3 linked regions of the Arabidopsis thaliana genome follow. The protein of the gene in region 1 interacts with the protein of each later gene in a pairwise test. Each region holds a gene or a part of one and is shown on either strand. Other genes may lie near its edges.

Region 1 (7,177 bases):
TAGTATGTGAGATAAATAGTTTAATAACAGAAAAATCAAATGGTACGTACTTAAAACAGTCAAACTCTTTTTAGCTCAACAAAAAACTGGTTAATTGTCTATATTATTTAGCCAAATTAATTTCAAATAATTAAAAAAGAAAGAAATATATTGATGAATGATATATATAAATATCAAAATTATATTTTTAAAATGTGAAAACGTAAAACAAATTTGTATATCATTCGTTTTGATCAAAATTTGTTTTTGTATATATATACCATTTTCTCATGTTATATATATCCTGAATATTTAGTATGTAAGACAGTAAGAATCAAGTACTACATAAAGCCTAAACTACGAATAATTGTTCTTCGCATAGTGTCGATGTTCTATAATATCTATACCCACCATATTCCATATAATATAGCAAATATATGTCTCATCTCATATTTTTTTATGTGAAATAGAGATTTTACGGGTGATTTGAGTACTAGAAAATGATCCATTTTAAGCTTACGAATCAATGATTAATCATCTTTGAAATATCTTAAGAAAGAGAAAGAGAAATTGTATCATCTTTTTTATATGTCAGAGAAATTTTATCTTTATACAGCCGACATCTTAAATATCTACAAAATATACTTGTTTAGGGTTCAGAAAAGATAACATTTATGTAGAACTTCTGCGAAGATATGTCGGCCGAATAAAAGTGACAAAAAATAGATTTGGGTTCAATATTGATGAGAGCTTTATATGATATCCACCGAGAAGATCCCATCACATAACACATCTATCTTTTTCCTTCTCCAGACACGGTGACACTACCTTATTTTCTTTGTTCCTTAACGTTGGTAGCTCCAGTACAATTCTTGGAAATGATTAATCTTATGATATTTTTTCGATGAAGTTTCCTTGTATATAGACAATTTATTTAATTTGAAGTCTCCTTTAATTATTTCTTCTTACCTAAGTAAGTACTATTGTGGGTTTACTTCTGTTCCATGTTTTAAACCAAAGCTAGTGAATATTGTGAATTGTGATAGTAACATTTACATAAATATAGACTTAAACAATATGCATATGGACTAGGTATTCATATGATAAGTCATTTATAAAAATATGGACTAGTAAGTAAGTAGAATGGTAATGACTGCATGTGTTTTAAAAAATAACATGGATTTTGTGAACTTAATTATAAAAATTAACATGAGATTTTAGCTAATGCCGATTGTGTTTCATACTATATTTAGCTGTTTAGTTCAAATATCATTTAACAATTTCACCCTTTAAAATATCCGTTTCGTTCCATGCACCATGCGCATGCATCTCTTAATGTATATGAATATGATTATATATATATATATATATATATATATATCTATACACTTAATTAGCCACACAAAGAAATTAAACCCCACGTTTTCCTTTGTGTGATTTGGTCCAAGATTTTTCTTCAAACCCAACATATAGTGCACACTATCAAAAGGTTGTTGTGATTTTGGGATGGGACATTTTCTTCATTAAAAAGGTAATAAATAATCATACTGTTAAACTCAATCAATTATTAATTTTAGAAGATAATTACGTCTTAAAATTCTACATTATCTGTGTATATATATAGGCTTACTTAAAGACGATACTGTTAAAGGTCTTAAAAATTCAAAAGTTAATTGTACAACAACATTTTCATGGAGCTAGCAAGTTTAGAGTTTCGTCCTAATAGTTTATGTTTATAGGTAAAAACAAAAGTGTTAACTTAGGGAAATTTCTAGTGTTATACTGTTATGTTTGGCTACTTCGTTACGTTCACCAAACTTTTAGTATTCTGCTTAGGCTTATTGAACTTGATGTTTGTCTTTCGGCTTTTGGAGGAAAAATAAAATTTTGAAAATTTTGATTCATTTTGACTGTGAACCGGTCTTGTTTCGGCACGTCTTGTTTAGGTCTTGACAACATATTTATGATTGTGTTTATGTGGAGGGAATCAAGTTTCACAAATATTATCCATACAGTTTACATATATACACATATGCATAACTTTGAAGTTTGAACCAAAATGTGAAATTCATAGTATAAAACGTTTGACCTTTACAAAAATGCTCAAAGTTACTTGGCATCGTTTTTCTGTTTATTTTGTTTCAAACTTAAATCTCGAGCGTTGTGATGTAATTTACACTCGTTGAGATTGGCGATTGCATGGCCACTAAAAAACGGTACAACTCTAAAAGCCTTATCTCAAGGCAAACCGATTCGGTTTTCAACCGGTTATTCTCCCTAGATATAAAATTACCACAACTAACAACATTAGCTAACCGGTTTTTCAGCTCCTGATTTCTTATGTTTAACCGGTTCACCTCTTCAGTTAACTCTTCAAAACGTTTCTTCTTTTTCATCCTCGATCTCTTGGCCGATTCCCGGTTTGATATCGTCCGTCTTCTCTTCTTATCATCCACCGGTACTACCTCGTTTATACCGCTTGGATTGTCCGACTCGTCTGATTGAAGAAACGCCAATATATCAATGATTTCATCACCGGTTATCGTAGCATCATTGAAGCAGTTATGAACCGTCTCCATATTAGTATAAAACATTGATGTAAGTGGCAAAAGATATTGGTATAATTTGTGTTAAAGCTAGAGAATGAAAGCTAGAGAGGAAGGGGAGGATTCAAAATGAACCAAGAGTGGCTATTTATAGAGAGGAATGAGGAATAACATGTGGGACTCACATTGGGGTTATATTGTCCACTAAAAAAGTGCTAAGTATTAATGTCATAATCAGAGTCAATCTAAGAGATTAATTGGAATGTTTGTCGATTAGTGCTCTAGATAACATTATTACTGTATTATTTTAACTTTTGTTTTTTTATCCTTTTATACCTTTTGTTTGGATACTGCTTTTTAACTTTTATCACTTTCGTAGCACTACTTTTTAACTACAGAGATAGTGTATTAATTTCACATTGTCATTGTAAGATTATTGTTTTTTTTGTTTTTTTTTGTTTTTTTGATTAATATAAAGGACTGGGTGTTTAAGGTTGTCACCATTTAAACTATATAATTGGTAAAATACTAGAGGGTCAATAATATCTGAAAAACTTGTAAAATATAACTATATTGTAAAAAAAATAAAATGAATAGGATTTATAGCCTATTGGTTTCTGTTAGTATTGTCGTTGTGTTACTATCAATCTATCATGACCGATCCTTCCTTGGCACAAGCACATAAAATTTTGATTTGGGGCCTCAAAATATATATTAGTTATTAGACCAATTTTGTGTAAGATTTCTTGGTATAGATACTCAGTAGGTTCAGAGTTCAAACCAATAAAATGCATCATTTTCATATACTTTTTTTTCAATGTGATAAAAAGAGGGCACGCACTTTATCCTTCTACTGCTAGAAACGATTCCAGATTCAAGCTCGCATATTAAGTACATGTAATTGACAAAAAAAATATCAGATAAAACTCTATACATAAAAGATTTTTTTTAAGTTTCTACACAACTTATTAAGTTAAGACTTAGGGGAGAAAATGGTGTGTAGGTCTTGACACAAGAGGAAGAAGATGAGAGCTTAGCTTAATGGCGAAGAATCTAACAAAAAGCATATTACGTCTTAGTTTATTTATTATGTGTTTGGATTTTCTTATCTTTTTAGTAAGATAAAGTAAACAATACAAGTGAAACTACAGCTGCATTCTCTTTATAGTATCATTATAATTTTGAATCATTTTTTTTTTAATTAAGTAGGGTAAATATATTCGTACGTATTTTCGTAAATCTTTACATGTTTTGAAAGAAAATTTATCCGTTAAAATTTATAATACTGTGACATATTGAAATATTTCTCCATTGGGGTATAAAACCAATCTTGCCTATTTTACTTTATTTTTTTGTTAAATTAAAAATTTAGATAATGGGTCATTTTTTTTTTGCCTACAATTATTTCCAGGGCAAAAGATGTTAAAGAACATACTATTCTTATATTTTGACCTTTGTAATCACGTTTCAAGAAAATCCAAAGTCCACTGTTTGTGACTTTTTGTGGCTTTTTGTAAGTGGACTAAAACATGCATTCACATTTTCACAACTTCTATAACCGACTCTCTATATATTAACATAATTCCTTTTTGTTATTAAAATAGAAGCATTAGTTTAACCTCAGATACAGAGTTTTGTCATCTAATTAGGAAATGTCTAACAACCGATCTATATTTTAACACAATTCCTTTTCTTAGAAAGCTATACACCTTAGTTTAACCTAAAACAGAGTTTTGTCATCTAATAAGAAATGTCTACCACCAAGAGTTGGATTCATGTGCTTCCTCCTTATTTGTCTACCCTAATTTCTTTTTATTCTTTAGCATTCCACATTCTCAAGTAAAGTCCAACAAAAGATGGCAAAAAGCTGTTTTATTTCACATGTTTAAATACCATATCTTCTATACTTTCTATGCAAGACATCTGTATCTCATAGGGATCGACCTAAAAACCGAACCAAACTGAATCAAAGATTTATCGATCCGAACCGAACTTAAGTTTTATATAAATAACCGGACCTTGATTAACTAACCGAAATTCATTCTGTTTGTCAAAGTATAGGCTGAGCGAGTCCACATTATACTAAACAAGAAGAGTAGCCAAAACATATAGACTTGATGATTGCAAATTCACAACTTTACTTTCATTTATTCCTTGAGGTAATAACAGTGGTTGTGGTAAACCACATAGTCGAGTAACATCACAAAAGGAATATTCAATCAAAGTACAAAAAAAAAAAACATTTAGACAAAACACACAAACTTCTGTTTCCTACGCTTCATTCCAGAGTGTGCTACTCCATGTTGACTGGTGGAGTTGCCTAAATAAAGACGATTAGTGGAATCGATCAGCAATATCGAAAAGATCTATTAGTGTCTATTGTTGACGACCGGTGTGGCTAAAGAGAAATCATTTGTTACCTTGAATAAAAGATCATGAGCAATAGTGTCCCATGGTAATGAAATGGACATTAAGCAGCATTTAAGAGGGAACATCTCGTCTTCATCATAAGAGGCAGTAGCAGCTGCTATTGCATGTTTAGCTGCGACAGATGCAACAGAGGCTGCTTTACGGAAAATGGATCCGAGATCGATGCTCTTCTTTGAAGACATAGGTGAAACAGGCCCTAAAACTACTTGGCTCTGATCTGAGAAAAGCAATTCTATACAATCATCCTTTAAACCATACTACGTCTTCAATATACATTTCAACAAGTCTCCTACTCTTAAATTTTGGCGATTGTACTTCTTAAATATTGCTGCTATTAAGACAATCCGACCTAAGACAATTGTTGGCTAGGGCATTCTCTATGTTTTTACTTTTTTTTTTTTATCTTCCATGGAATATTACTAACTGCACTGTAACACTCGAGAAAATAGGGAAACAAAACACTAACAGGAAAATAAAGAGCCATTCAAGCATAAGAAATGAAAAGTACCTACAACGCCAGAAACAGCTACTTCAACTTCTCCACGTCCTCCTGGGCCTCTCATATAAAGTCTGTCTGCTTTTCCTGTAATATGACCGAGAGATAGGAGACTTCCAAACCGATTCCTCCCCCCTGTAATAAAAGTTATTAGATGAAAAAACATAAAGCGTGAAAATATTAATTAGCCCAAATCAACGAAAGCGATCTCAGCCTATATAGACAAGGAAACAAGCAATAGGTTCCTTTAGGTCTTTTAGCTCTTAATATCTCAAAATTCCATGTCTACAAAAGTTAATTTTGTAGTCCAGCCATCTTGAGGTTGTCAGGTTGGGTACCGTTTCATATTCACACCTCCTTGATCTCTAAACGAACCATACTACTTCCAAAAATTTCGACTTTACTTTTTGAGTAAATGAGTAAAGGCATGAATATTAAGACTGCATGTTTCCCTGACATGAATAACCACTAATGAATTCTGTGTGCTATAGTGGAGTCAAGCTCGAGACCAAGTTCCGTACTATCATGGACCCTTAATATATACTTTCCATCAAATATTTTGGGAGAAATATGAAAGACCGAGATCGACAATGATAGTGCTAAGTACTAGAAGACTAAGGCAAGTAAACCATAACTACAAAAGTTGCTGGAGAATTGAACTAGGTTCTAAAACTGAATAAGAAATAGAAAAGAAACTGTAAAGTGACCTTCATAGGCTTCTCGAACCATCTGATAGCTGACAAACCCAGAAAACAGAGTAACCTGCAACCAAAAGCACCAGCATGTCAATTTCTTTCTCATTAGAAAGTCACGACCATGTAATGTGTCCATAGGCCTTTTGAAAACCATTGAGCTTGAAGTTAAATCATCTTTACAAAAATCACAAACAATACTTTAGTTAATTTGTTTAAGATCGACCGTTGCAAGCATCAGTGAAACTACCGACATATTCCTCTGTATGACATGGTTACAAGATATTTTCAAGCATTAACCACAAATTAAGGAATCTATTTGAAACTCATAGCAGGTGGCAAATGAATAATTGATAGATGATTGGCAGCAACTGCTGAAAATAGTGAAGCATAGGTGGGAAAAAACTAGACCTTAGGATCTTTCACAGTTCTAGGGTCAGCATTCGTATTAGAATCACTCGAATCTTTAACAGTTGCACTTGGAAAGGCTGCCCCATCGTGAGAATTAAGTAGTACGCAATAGCAATGATCTTTATCTGTCAGAACCTGAAAACATCAATGACAAAGCCAATGAACAAGGTTGGAAAAAAACTATGGTCAGTATAACAACTTCCATGCATGAAACCTAACCATACGACTTAAGTTATTTATAGGAATCATAAAGCCAAACTCCTCTACGCCTAAGCAAAACTAAAGAAGAAGACAGGCCAATCCTCTGAAGAAGATAATAAATAGCAGGTACTAAACTCAAATAAGGAGAGGATGTTAAAGCACCGCAAGAGGTAGTTGAAATAATATTATCTGGATCCTCCAGTCCTGTACCAAAAGCCAACAAACGTATCCTACAAAAGATTTTACTATCCAGTTAAGGAGAAACTAAGAATGCACGTAACTTCACCCTAGTGACAAAGGGGAGTTCATGCATATTTCCTCAACTAAAAACTATTCTTCCAGAGCCGATTTCATTATGAACAAAATGTCATAATTCCTTTGACATTCATGTTTAGAGTTTCTTTGAACGAAATGACTACATA
Region 2 (7,389 bases), 5.5 Mb from region 1:
AAAATTTCCTTTTTTCCAAGCAGAAGTACATATATGAAAACAGCAGCTTCAAGTGGTAGTCAAACCTCAAAAATGTGACTGCCATCTTCAGTTCCAGTAAGTTCTCTTGATGCAAAGTTCATAGTCGTCAACTGGGACAACGTATCTTGAAGGTTCTGATTTTTCATAAAAAGATAGTTAGACAAAAAAATTAAACAAGAAAATACATCGGATATACAAAAATGGATAACTAGCCTTCAGATCAAACGAGCTGTAGATAAGAGAAAATGAAAATCAAACCCTTACCTGCAAGATCTTGTCAATGAATGGTACAAGCTTTGATTTTAACAATTTCACGACTCTCATGAACAAGTAACCAGCTCTACGGCTCACATAGAAATTCTGGTGATGCAAACCCCTATCATCAAGGAAAGCACCAAGAACATTGGGAATGTACTGGGAGTTTTCCTGAATAAACTTCATGTACCTTGTTATGTTTTCTAAGTACACTAGTGCAACAAGTCTATGTGAATGACCAGGGAACTGTGTGGTCAAGAGCATCGGAATTAGTTCACTCAAACACCCAGATCCTGTTTTCATGGCCTCCTCGGTCATAGACTCTCCGAATGAATACAAAAGCGAGAGCGCAGCTTCCACTTCTTCAACATTGCTCTCCGATGAAGATTCAACAGCATTTGCTAGTGAGTTACGAATGAAATGCTGAGTAACTTCAGGAGCAACACGGCCCACTGTACGTAATAAGACAAAGAGATCTTTTCTAAACTCGGACATTCTATCTTCCTCCTCCAATCCAGTTTTATCCAGTGAATTAAGGTTATTACGATACATAGGATCATAGCAAATCTGAATTCTTATCACTTCGAGAATCTGTGTAATGTGGAGCAGCTGCTTCTCCTTCAATGCAGGGAGGCCTTTGAGAGTGGAAACATAACCCAGGAGAAACTGGACGATGCTAAAAGTAGAATCCACCTCACACTTCTGCATGACATAAAAAACTGATGGCAGAACTTCGTTCAGCAAATCCATGGAGACTGCCTTGGTGTCCTCTGAGTTCAAACGCTTATGGCATTCTAGAACCTCAACAGCATAGCCAGTAAGCAAAGCAGATACTTTTGATACCAAATCGGAATCAACATCTCCGGATACTAAACCAAAAACACGACTGATTTGAAGGGTCTGCAAAAGGGGCAGTTTTGACTGGGGATCCATCCGCTTAGAAACCATGGCTAAGACACACCCAGCTGCTGCACCGCGGACTTGTTCAGACAATCCATCAGACAAAATCAATTCAAACAGCAGTGGAACAAATGCATCATTGGCAACCAAACCAATGTCAATCCAAGATACAAATCTTCTCATGCAATCTAACACAGTAGCAGAAAGATCAGGATCGGAATTCTTGTACATCGATACAATGTCATACCATGCTCTGGCTATCTGAGGGACACATTGTTGCCTCATTGCATCCTTGACTCGAGCAGCAACAGATATCTCTTCTGGTGTCCGGGGGTAATCCAAGCTAATCAACTCATCGTCCAAGGCATTCAAAACCCGACAAAACATGTCGATCACAACAGCACCTTTGCACAAATGAAGCATGAAATCAAGAAACACCGAGGACCAAATCAAAGGGTACTCATAATAGATCAAAGTAGCCAAAACCTGTGCAAGCTTGTTTTTAACAAAAGGAGGTCCTTCCACAACTCTACCAGCATTCTCATTATCAATAACCTCCAAACAAGCCATTGAAAACACTGATTTCCTCACATAACTCTGCTCATCCAAGCTCATAGATCCATATTTAACCCTTAAAACATCCTGAAGCGTTTGCAAACACCAGAACTGAACTTGGACAAGCTTAGAAAACCATAACTTCTCAATACATATACTACAAATAGAAGGAGTCTCTTTGATTTGCTGACAATAAGTAACAGCTTGAGACTTTAAAGCCGAATCAACAGCACCAGTTTCAAAGCTAATTACTATTGCCTGTTCAAGGTCATCCATTGTGTTAACTTAACCCCACTACAAAAACCCTAAAAACCGAGATTTCAAAATCCAGTCCTGGTTTGTTGCATACAAGTCAAACAATGCCTTGAATTAGTATCGTCAGCTAGCTTCTCTCCTTCACTGTTCTCTTCCCTTATCAGATTTTGATGCGAAGAAGAAAAAGACGAAACTTTTAGTGGGTTTCGCTTGAGAGCTTACCAGAAAGTAAGGATCGTGGCGATTTTAGCGATCGGATTTATGAGAGTGGGAGATATAGTAGAAAAGGGATTATGGAAACCCTAGTTTGGGTTTCTCTTTGAATTCAAAGAATACTTTTTTTTGGTGAGTTTCTAGAAAATTTCCCTTACGGATTTATAAATATGAGGAAAATTGTGAGACTGGAGAGAAGACGGAGCTGTAGGGTTTTTTTTTTTTTATACACAGATTTTTATTAGCTTGCAGAATATTTTCCCAGAGAACTATAAATATTATTGCCAGCGAATTGAAAATTAACCGTCATCTGAATTCAGTAAATCAGCCCATGGGCTTGAATCTCTCTCACCTTAGGCCTTAGGTGTTGCATACTGATAGATTAAGATAGACATGTATAAATGTTTTGTGAGTTAGCAAATATAATGGTGTTTTTTCACTTTCTTAATCTAATGTTTTATAAAACAAATTGTCACATTAATACATATAACTAAACTACTTACTGTGAAATTATTCATGGAGACAACTTCTGTAGCTAAGACCTCTCGATTTTTATTTTGTATACTACAAACTAGGTAATTGTAAGAAAAGGTTTGTTCTGTAATGGCATTGTCGATTACCTCGTAGAAGAGGTTGGAATATTTCCGATGCCCGTAGCAAGATATAAAATCACAAATTCATTTTTCAGTTGTTAAAGAAAACAATTGTGGCTTTTTGTGTAGAACGACATTTCGTTATGTGGGTGGCGAGTATGGACAAACTACCCACTAAGTCTTGGTTAACAGCTTGGAACACAATTTCATTTTCTATCTATAAGCAACATATGCAATATAATCAACCAAATAAGAGAGATCACTTATTCTTTTGTTCTATCATATTTTGTGTGTCTGTTTTCAAAGGTTATACCGTCACATTATCCGCTTCTCACACTTGAGGCAAATTTTATGAGTTAGATAGCATATTGCCAAACACTCCAGCTATATATATCTTTTATCTTTTAGATTGATCTTTGTCTAATCTGCGAAAACAGCAAGATCATTTCAGGCTTCTCCATCACAGTTAGAATCATTTTCAAACGGATCGATTGAATGAGCAATCAAAAACACATTTTTATCGTCTAAGGAGAAATTTCCTTGCAATACTACTAATTTTAGTACAAATTTTGTTTACTTTTAAATTATGTAATGTTCTTTAAGTTTATTAAAAAATATCCCAAATTATATCGAAAGAAAGACATTAATAAAAGAAATGTATTATTGTCTAATTAACATATTTCGAAAGAAACAAAATACTGACTTTTTTAAGCGCTACTGTGTGCTTTTTTTACGGAAAAGTTAATCAAATACCAAAGAACGAAAATTTTCATTGTAGTGTGTCATGTGTATCTCCCATATATATATACGTATACATCGAAAAGATCCGAGGGAGAGTGGGCACAAAACTCTAGAAGTCAGATGCAAGTGTGTGTGAAAGAGAATGTGAAAGAGTGAGGGAGAGAGAAACTTCCTCTTCCTTTCTTTCATGCTTACGACAAAACTTCACCGCCACCTGTTTTGTCTCAAATCTTTTTTCCACCTTTTTAATTATATAATTTATTAAATGTTTTAGACTTATGAAAAATATTAATGTATATTCGCACGTATGAGACTACAAATCATATAAAACGAAACCCTATACATATAAACTAAGAGCGAGAAAGACAGCTAGAGAGAGAGAGAGAGATGAAGAAATGGTTGGGATTTTCATTGACACCTCCTTTGAGAATCTGCAATAGTGAAGAAGAAGAACTTAGGCATGACGGTTCCGATGGTACTCTCTTCTTCACACATCATCCCCCTGGTATATATATGTTGTTGGTGTGGCCACTATTAATATTCTTAATTTGATTTCTATTTTATGTGTAGTTTGGAGATATGATATTAACTTTGATCATCATCATCATGATGAAGACGTTCCAAAGGTGGAAGATCTCCTCTCAAACTCTCATCAAACCGAGTATCCTATAAACCATAACCAAACCAATGTCAACTGCACCACTGTGGTTAACAGGTTAAACCCACCCGGTTACCTTCTCCACGACCAAACCGTAGTTACACCACATTACCCGAACCTAGATCCGAACCTTAGCAATGATTATGGAGGTTTTGAGAGGGTCGGTTCGGTCTCGGTTTTCAAATCTTGGTTAGAGCAAGGCACTCCAGCATTCCCACTCTCGAGTCATTACGTTACTGAAGAGGCTGGTACGAGCAATAATATTAGTCATTTTAGTAACGAAGAGACTGGTTATAACACCAATGGCTCAATGCTATCATTGGCTTTGAGCCATGGGGCTTGTTCTGATTTGATCAACGAATCGAATGTATCCGCACGGGTCGAAGAACCGGTTAAGGTAGATGAGAAGCGGAAGAGATTGGTTGTTAAACCTCAGGTAAAGGAATCCGTTCCTCGGAAGTCGGTTGATAGTTATGGACAAAGAACTTCTCAGTATCGTGGAGTTACAAGGTACGTACGTTATTAAATAATGACGTCTCAAACATTTGTTTTGGTTTAAATGATGTCTCAAACTTACACGTAAGAAAAATGTGAATGCCACAATTATGTTACTTATGTATATTTGTCATTTTATTTTGTAGATTATGTATAATTGTGTCGACACATATTTATGTTGTGCGTGTATACAGGCATAGATGGACAGGGAGATATGAAGCTCACTTATGGGATAATAGCTGTAAGAAGGAGGGACAGACAAGGAGAGGAAGACAAGGTCAGAAAAAACAAATACAAAATAATTTTCCGATTCAATATGCTATCATGCATCAATAATCTTACTAACAATTATTTAATTTTGGCTTCGTATGTACTTTCGAATTCGCTTCTTGATCAATCACAGTGTATCTTGGTAAGCCAGAACTTTATTTTACAACCTATTATGCATGAGATCCCTCGTTCATTTCTTGTTGCCCTATTTTTGGCCTTCGAAGTAAAAATTAACCTTGTTACCTTCTGATAATTATAGAAAAACATTTAATAGTAGAATTAATACTTACTAAAATAGGAGGGTATGATGAGGAGGAGAAAGCAGCGAGGGCATATGATTTAGCGGCTCTGAAGTATTGGGGTCCTACCACTCACTTAAATTTCCCTGTGAGTTTGATCTTTCTGGTCCCGTACCTAGCTCCACTTCTAACTCCTTTATTACATGCAAGTGTGTTTTATATATGTACACTTATATACATGCAACATAACAGTTTCCATACTTATTTCGATATTTTGGATCTTGAATGTAATCATTTTCCGATTTTATTGACTTGATTTTGATGGAACTACATAGATTTGGCTTGTGATATCAGTTCCTTTGACGCTCTTTTATTCAGTTGAGTAATTACGAAAAGGAGATCGAGGAACTCAATAACATGAATCGGCAAGAATTTGTTGCCATGTTGAGGAGGTAATTACTCAACAGTGGGTTTGTAATGATATTTATGGACCTTATATAGTCATATGCATTTAACCATTAACAAACGCTTTGTAATTACATATCATAATCATAGGAATAGCAGCGGGTTTTCGAGGGGAGCTTCCGTGTATAGAGGAGTTACAAGGTTTGATTTGGACATATATGTGAAACTTGTATATATTTATATATGTACATGTACATGCATGGAATTAGATCATGATGATCATGCATGTATAACTCATGTAGGCATCATCAACATGGAAGGTGGCAAGCCAGAATTGGAAGAGTTGCTGGAAACAAGGACTTGTACCTTGGAACATTTAGTATGAACCACTTCTATACATATGGAATTATATCATAGCCTTTGAATTATTAAATATCACATTTTGTAACTATGATGAAGGCACGCAAGAAGAAGCAGCGGAGGCGTACGATATCGCGGCAATTAAATTCAGAGGCCTAAACGCTGTAACCAATTTCGATATAAATAGATATGACGTGAAGAGGATATGTTCAAGCTCAACGATTGTTGATAGCGACCAGGCCAAACATTCTCCCACCAGCTCTGGCGCCGGCCACTAACCGACACCGTAAACTCCTCGCCGGAGAGACTATTCCCACGTACGGTTGGTTTGAGGAAATAAGTTCGTCCAGTCTGTTTAATCATTTATGGTTTAATAAACATATATTCCTAAGTAATTGAGGCCGGTCTACATATATACAACTTTTTTAGCAAATTAAGTTATCAGAATCCACTATATATTATTCTCTATGATATACTTTGATTAAATTTCGTTTTTATTTTTAATTGAAAAAAGTTAATGCATTCATTATTTACAGGATCCATAACATAAGTGTTAATTAATTAGTATATATTAACTGCACCAAGTTGAGGAGAGGCGATTCCTCAATTTGTGTGCCTTCTTCTGTCGTGGTCGTACTTTAAGGAAAAGCGTTACAAATTTAAGTGAAACTTATTTAACTCATAATCAAATCCATCCAAGCCTTTGATAGTTTGATTAATTTTGAACCCGTATCGAGCTAATTCCCTCATGCCATGGTGAAAATAATTGGTGTCAATGGAAATTTGAAGGTTTCTATGGACTTCTTGAGATAAACTAAAGTAATATCAGATGTTAAAAAAAAAAAAAAAACTTTTTATATAATTTTTATTTTATTTATATGCTCGGTTACAAAGCCGGACAAATATCTAGCCGTCAAGAAACAAAAAAAGAACCAACATATGACATATATCACCATCATCGTTATTGTTATGATTCAACATTTAATTAGGGTATATTCTTGAAATCAACTTCAACTTCAACTAATTCTCTTTCTCCTTCTTTTAGCGGCAATGACTGTCCTATCTTTGTCAAACAATTGTTCAGAAGTTTTACACAGTTCATCATCTGATTGAACTTTTCCATTTCTTCGTCACTCAAAAGCGTATCATCTGTGACTTTTTCCTTCCCCAAATAAGTTTGTTCGAGTTTCTTTAGAACCTCCTCGACATCCTCCACATTCTTTTTAGTTTGTTCAAGGGTCGCCAATTCAGCGACATCTCTTTGTGATTCATAAGAAGCCATTTCTTATATAAAATAAGGTAAAGGAAGAATATGTGTGCGTGATAGAGAGATGATGATAATGGTGGTAAATGAGAGTTGAAGAACAAACATATTTATAGTGTGGGGTGGCTTATATTAATAAAAATAACAATTAATATTTGAGATAAG
Region 3 (7,108 bases), on another chromosome or scaffold:
TGATCCAACGGGTCATAACGCAGCATCAACAAAACTTAGCCCACGTGGTCAATGCCATTTGATAATTGTAATTTGTAAAGATCACATCCGGATATATTCAATGAAACTAAATACTAAAATAGAGATTAATTAATTTTAGAAGGATGTGAAGATATTAGTTTTTATATTAAGATGAATGTGTTATATGGATTACTATTCAGGAATGCTTTTGATAATTTGATTATTAGGCTAATTAGTGAAGCGACTATTATCACTTGTCATATTCTATGTACTTTTGAAGGCATCAGTAACAACTGGTTTCTATTTGTCGACATCGTAAGTGTCGAATGTTAGTGCAGTCCCTCTACTGTATATCATCGTAAGTCAAAGATACAGAGAGACACTTTTTCTCTAACTTCTAAACCCTAACTTTATTTTCATGGGTAATTAATATCGTCCGATGCACTGTAACTTTTATTTAACCTACAAACTCTCTCGGGCTTCTTCTCCACAAGGTTGATTCCGAAGGTCAGTGATCATCATCTCTATTTAATTTGGTAATTCTTTTTGTCACAGCACATGTTTGTTTTGGTTTGTCTTTTTACAGTCAAAACATGCAAGGAGCTATAATAGTACAATGTTTCCCAAATTTTTAGGAAATTGCTAATTCTGCGTTGAAGGTAGCACGATATGGGCATAGACGTTTTGTTTTTTTTGGCAACAAGAACAGCCTAAGAAGTGGTTTTGATTATTAGGTTAGCTTGCGAGATCACTATTATCACTTGTCAGATTCTATGGATTTAACCAATGGTTACTTATGCTTTCAAAAACCCTTGCTTAAATCCAGATCAATCAGCAAAGTGATAATAGATTATGTGTATTTAATTTACGACATTGATTCCGGGGTCAAAGCTACTTTTTGGTGAGAAGCCATAAATTGAAGGATTTTACACACTTCTATATCTGTCTTGAGTTTAGGTACTTTGTGGCCGATGAAGCCAATATTGTTCTACTTTTGGTTGTCAAATAGTTTATTAAAACAAACAGTGAATCATAGAAATTTTGAAACAGATAAATCCTATCCATAGGATATCTTTGAGTATCTTGTAGACATAAATCATCTCTTAAATTAAAATCAATTAATCTCTTTATACAAAAGAGTTATCTTGTTTCATGGAAACATTTATGGAGAATAATATAAAAACCTTTAGTAAAAGAAAAACACCCTTTTTTGGATTATCTAGGACCGATCACTCCTCTCTAACTATGACCATTCCTCCCAAAAATCGTCCTAAAACCTTCTTGTGCTCTCTGATGATAGCAAGTTGCTTTTCCTGTTCGTAAATAATCAAACCTACGAATGGTAATCCCATTGCCATGATTAGATCTGTAACACCCTCGGGAGTTGACCACATCGATTTCACATATCTTGCTACCGCACCCACCACCATGACTGGATTTCTAACTGTAATTAACTGCTCTTACGAAAAGAATAAACATAAACATATATTATAGTCAATACCTAAATCGGATGATAATATATGCTAAACAGAGAGAAAGAGCAAAATATATCAAGTCCAAAGGAAGAATCTACACAATCAAAATTTATTAAAGAGAGAGAACCTGACAGGTCAGGGCAAAGTGGTTCCCGAACTCAAAAGCAAAGCTGTGCTCCAAACCCTACCTGTCTCGCCCTCTTATATAGCAAATTCTCAGATTGTGTGCCTTCCAAGTCCCGTTATTTTCGGCCCGAAGCCCAACACATACTTCGAAGTATTATCCAATCAATTATTTATTTTAAAAGAAATTATATTTTCTTAATTAAGATTTGAGAGGGATTTTCCAAATTCAGTTATCTCCTAGACCAGGAAAACCAATTCGACAAAACAAAAACCGAGCTCAAAAGAATATGGAAATTTCTTTCTTCCTGGCTGTGTTACAAAGAATGATACAAATCACACAAATATAAAACCACTTCCTTTCTTCTAGGCTTTAGAAGTGCCACGATGATCCTTATCGATATGCTTCAATAGATCCACCGGATCACGAAACCCTCTACTACATTTGGGACAAACATCAACCGTAACTTTGCCACAATTCTGTTTTCCATTCCTCTCTTGCGTTTTCTCTGAATTGCCATCATTGCCACTCGCAAACTGTAACTTCTGGCTTATATCGTTACCGAGTCTACTAATACTTGCTTCCGCAGAAGCGAAAAGACTAGACCATCTCGAAGAAGATGATGATGATGCAGGAGCTTCTTTTGTGTTTGTACTCAAGAAACCCATGAATGAGAAACTCGATTCAGGCTTCTTGGGTCCAGAACAACTATGATCAGGTCCAAACCGATGTTTCAAACAATGATCGATGCTACAATCTCGACATTTAATAGTATTGGAGAATGTCAAGAGTTCTCTGCATCTAGGAACAGGACATTTCTTCTTCTTGACAGCTTTTTCGTAGTTAGATGGATCACAGTCTGTATTAACATGTTTCTCCCAGGTGATGTTGGGATCTTCGTCAGGGTTTAATCTAACTCCTTTAGCACATAATGGACAAATAACCACAGTGACATCTCCTCTGTTTCCTTTTGGACAATCGTGTTTCATATAGCTACGATGATCCAGACAATACACCTTCAATAAATTTTCAAAAAAAAAGTTCAAAAGATTTGATATAAGCTTCCTCTCCGGATTCAGATAAAACAAATGAATCTTTTCAATCATTTAGCATCTAATTCTTTCGAAATGACGATTAGTCTAGATTCAAATCAACTACTGAATTTGAACATAAAAAGAGACGAACTCATGTATAAATCATATAATTGACCAGAGACTTAGAAGAAGCCACGATGATTCTCTATACAGAAAAATCATGGCATTGGAATGGTATCGAAAGAAAACGGAGAAGGAGAAAGGGAGACCTGAAGGCAGCGATCGCATGTGAAGGGCAAGAAATCGATCTGTTTGCAATAATCGACGGAGCAGTGTTTACCCAGATCTGGAAATTCTGGAGTTCCCATTGTTGAGACCGAGCTTTCGAGAATATTACACAAACAACAATTCCGACAAAAAAAAATCGAAAAGCAATCGTAGGATAGTATAGAGAAGTAAGAAAAGATGGTTTATTAGAGTTTCCCGGCGAGATAGACACACCGGGAAAAGAAAATCCCCAGATTCCGAGAATTTAGATCAACAGAAAAACTCGGGCAAGGAAGAAGAAGAAGAAATTTGTAAAGGAAAGTCAACGTCATTCCCATCTTCTTATTTTCTTCTTTTTTCTCTCTTTGACTAAAAAAAATTCGATTTCACCAACCAATTAAAACTGTGACTGGGCTTACTAAGGTCTAAGGCTTTTATTCATTTCATTTCAAAACTTGGGCTTTAAAACATATTCAACGATGTTGGGAACAGGCCCATTTATCTAGCCTTCTCTTCTGCAATAAAGTATTTTTGTCTGATTAAAACATATTTTCCAGGTAGATTATATAAATCTCGTTGTAATCATACCTTATATCATTCACTGCTAGATCCAAATTCCATATTGTTTCAAGCCGTAAACCCCAATTATAAGAAGATTCGTATGATTGAATTCAAAGTGTAAAACAGATACGTATCTAGATTACTAAAGACATTATAACCGACAAATCAAAAAACCAAGGTTGGAACAAAATCTGACTTGAGCTTTTGACAACACTCAAGTCTCATGTAACAAGATAAAGTGGTATTACTCTACGCTTTTGTCTACAACAACCTCGCTGATCTTGACGCCAGGAGGTATAAGCAAGAAATCAGTGTGCTCTTGGTATGGTGATTTTGAGAATCTCGTCTCTTTCCAGAATTCCGGTGTAAGGAATCCGTATGTCTTCTGCAGACAATCAAATGTTGCCTGACCAAAAAAAAACAACAACAATTTGAATTACATTAGTCAGAATTTAGCGTAATCAAACAACCTAAAGCATTTCAATTCAAGCAATCTTAAACACAAACTCACATGCTCAAACCAATACAATCAGCTAAATCCTAATCTTCAATATAAATTCACTTAACTGGTAATGATTACTTTTTCACTGCCTAATTCAGAGTTCATCAAACCAAAACAGCCATTGTGAAAGTACATACCTTGACGAAGTTTCCAAGAGTTTTGGTGGATCCTCTAGAAGAAGTAAAGACATCATCAATTCCAGCGAATTGAAGAACCTTCTTAGGAACTCTAGCCGCCACAATACCAGAACCTCTCGGAGCTGGAACCATACGTACAGTAACAGATCCACATTTCCCGGTTACCTTACACGGAACCGTATGTGGTTTTCCAATCTTGTTACCCCAATAACCTCTTCGTATCGGAACCACAGACAATTTCGCGAGAATGATCGCGCCTCTGATCGCCGTCGCAACTTCCTTGGAGCATTTGACTCCTAATCCGACGTGACCGTTACTATCTCCGACGACGATGAAGGCCTTGAATCTCGTTCTCTGACCGGCTCTGGTTTGTTTTTGAACCGGCATGATTTTCATCACTTCGTCTTTCAATGAAGGACCGACGAGTAAATCTATGATCTGGTACTCCTTGACTGGGAGAGAATGGAGGTAGATCTGCTCAATCTTTGTGATCTTACCTTCCTTTACGAGACGACCAAGCTTAGTCACTGGCACCCATTTCTCCTCCTCTGGAGCACGACCTGCACGGCGACCACGACCTCTCGGACCACCTCTTCCACCGCCGCGACCACCGAATCCACGTCCGAAATCGCCGCGATCTCCACCACGTTCGACACCACGTTCCGCCATTGTCGATGCACTCGATTTTGCGTAGAAGAGCTAGGAGATTTGATTCAGTTTTCGGTGTGTTAGCGAGAAACGGCGGCAAAAAATGATTCTACTTATATCTCCAGACGAGAAGAGATAGTTAGGGTTTTCTGGCTAAAATGAGCTTATTGGGTTTATAAGCCCATTACTAAACTAAGGCCCAACATATGATTCGTGTAATGTAATGACTGTTTCTTGATTCGTTTTTTTTTTCTGTGTCAGTTATTGCATGTTTCTTGAAAAATATTTTTTTGGGGTGATAATTTTTTCACTGCATAAACATTATTGAGCTGACACATTGACATATTTAAAAATAAGAAGATACAGAGATAGAACAAGATGAACAAACCCCACCATTGATATTACCTGCCAAAAATCAACAGACAAATAAAAAGACAAGACCACGTAAAAATCTAAATTAGTTACTAGTGAGTTCACAGATAAAAATGAATTTATATATATATATATATATATATATAGTCATGATTATCACATTTATTTTGTAAGAGTAAGTAATGGTTAGTTGAGTCAAAGAGGACTCAATAGGGGAGAGTAGAAGTGGCAGAGAGAGAGGGTGGTGGTCATTGAAGGAGTAATGGGGACAACAAAACAAACACCTCTTCGTTTTAACCAAATGCATGTGGTTTTTGGTTTTTACACACACTGAGGACAAATTGGGAATTGCGAATTTTAATTTTTTCATATATAAACTGTTTTACTATTTACGTCAAAAACAAAAGCAAAAAACTTTTTTATTTTTCTCATTGTATGTTTTTCACATATATATACATATACATAAATATCCTTAAATTCAATGCCTATGAACCAATTAAGTTCATAGAATCATGGATAGAAAAGGAAAAAGAAACCATCATAATTACAATGAGACCATTAGTATTCAATGTTATAAAGATGTTTTTTTAGGAGTAACATTTTTTTTTTAATGAAAGTAATTTGTTTTCTTAAAGTCGATATAATTAACCCCACTCTCTCTACTTCAATCAAGTCTTAAACCTTTGCTCCCACAAGCTCACCTGAAACTCTCTCTCTTCCTCTTCTCACACTGTCTCTCTCATGTTCGGAGCCACGGCAAGGCTCGATGACCAACTCAGCACCACACCAACCACCATTTATATAGACCCACCCTCCCAAGACCAGCCGAGTCACAACTCGGACCACCGTTCAATAGAAACACTCGTTGTTGTCTTAGCCGTCATCACCATTTTATCCGTCTTAGCCGGCGTTTTCGCTCGGCTTTGTGGCGGTCGCCACTTATCTCACGGCGGAGACCACGACATCGAAGGTTGGGTCGAGAGAAAGTGTCGTAGCTGCATCGATGCCGGCATTCCTGCCGTATCCGCTGCTCCTTCACCTCCACCGCCGCCACCGCCAGCAACGGCGGAAGAGCGGAGTAAGCCAGCAGCCGAGGAGCAAACCAAGAAGTGAAGTAAAAAAAAGGGTAAAACTACATTCTTCGTTTTAGCTTTAACACTATGTAATATCATTAATTTTGAAAACATGTTCCTTTTTTTGTTATGTACCTTAGTCTACGGACATTGATTTCGGAATTTCCTCAGATGTTTTATGATTATTTATGTCTTTCAAAAGAAAGAACAAAAGCAAAGTTCTTTGTCAACTTTTAACTTTAAATAAATCCGTTGAGATTAAAGAGCAACGGCATTAACCAAAAAAAACACCAAGATTTACTTTATCCTTATAGCAACAAAATAAGAGGAACATTCACGTAAAAAGTAAATCATTTAATACAATGGACTTTTGGTAAAGTAGGCCAAAACATAAGAGCATCCTTAATGGGGGATTTTAAACAAGTTTCTTAACAAAGAATAAAAAATTTATATGATTTAAATATTCATAAGTCTCTTAACTTTGATGAAATCTAGGCAAATTGTCTCTTAGTTAAGAGATAATTGGTCTTGGTTTCACCAAATTTAAGAAACCCATAATTAAAAATATTATTTATCTATACTTACACTTCAATTTTGTTTAAGAGACTTAAGCTTAAAAACTACCATTGAGGATGCTCTAAGGGTTCGCTTAAATGCCTTGGTCCTTTTGGTTGATTATGGGATTTAACATTTTTATGTAAGTACATTGATTATTGAATGGACTAAAGAGTAAAGTAGGCCACAATAATGCAAGCGCTCACTGAAAACTAGGTTAATTTTGGTATTTAGCATCTCTTATTGAAAAACACACTTATAAATTACTAGCATTTTCATGCAAAAAAAGAAGAAGGCATATTTCGATTTAAGATTTACAAACTTGGCCCATGTGACTTGTATCAACTATTTGCACAATTA

Evidence for each region. Proteins that work in one complex are often made in the same cells at the same time.
Region 2: the proteins of bZIP4 (region 1) and AT1G72570 interact in a two-hybrid assay, tested with the Arabidopsis thaliana proteins (one large-scale study listed by BioGRID).
Region 3: the proteins of bZIP4 (region 1) and AT3G57480 interact in a two-hybrid assay, tested with the Arabidopsis thaliana proteins (one large-scale study listed by BioGRID).

Annotation. Positions count from the first base shown.
Region 1 is NC_003070.9:21,863,658-21,870,834, reverse strand, and holds bZIP4 (basic leucine-zipper 4), read right to left. Parts: upstream 2,646-7,177; 5' UTR 2,574-2,645; coding exon 2,127-2,573; downstream 1-2,126. Other genes in the region: CW7, read right to left, coding at 4,895-5,172, 5,464-5,586, 6,159-6,213, 6,555-6,689. UniProt on the Arabidopsis thaliana protein: Probable transcription factor involved in somatic embryogenesis. Acts as a positive regulator of BHLH109.
Region 2 is NC_003070.9:27,327,461-27,334,849, forward strand, and holds AT1G72570 (Integrase-type DNA-binding superfamily protein), read left to right. Parts: upstream 1-3,920; coding exon 3,921-4,008; intron 4,009-4,103; coding exon 4,104-4,701; intron 4,702-4,880; coding exon 4,881-4,963; intron 4,964-5,089; coding exon 5,090-5,098; intron 5,099-5,254; coding exon 5,255-5,343; intron 5,344-5,573; coding exon 5,574-5,647; intron 5,648-5,750; coding exon 5,751-5,801; intron 5,802-5,902; coding exon 5,903-5,979; intron 5,980-6,059; coding exon 6,060-6,238; downstream 6,239-7,389. Other genes in the region: PSD (ARM repeat superfamily protein), read right to left, coding at 66-155, 286-2,007; AT1G72580 (uncharacterized protein), read right to left, coding at 6,946-7,242.
Region 3 is NC_003074.8:21,276,119-21,283,226, forward strand, and holds AT3G57480 (zinc finger (C2H2 type, AN1-like) family protein), read right to left. Parts: upstream 3,254-7,108; 5' UTR 3,002-3,253; coding exon 2,903-3,001; intron 2,616-2,902; coding exon 1,965-2,615; 3' UTR 1,603-1,964; intron 1,455-1,602; 3' UTR 1,152-1,454; downstream 1-1,151. Other genes in the region: AT3G57490 (Ribosomal protein S5 family protein), read right to left, coding at 3,706-3,867, 4,101-4,769; AT3G57500 (fission regulator-like protein), read left to right, coding at 5,862-6,233. UniProt on the Arabidopsis thaliana protein: May be involved in environmental stress response.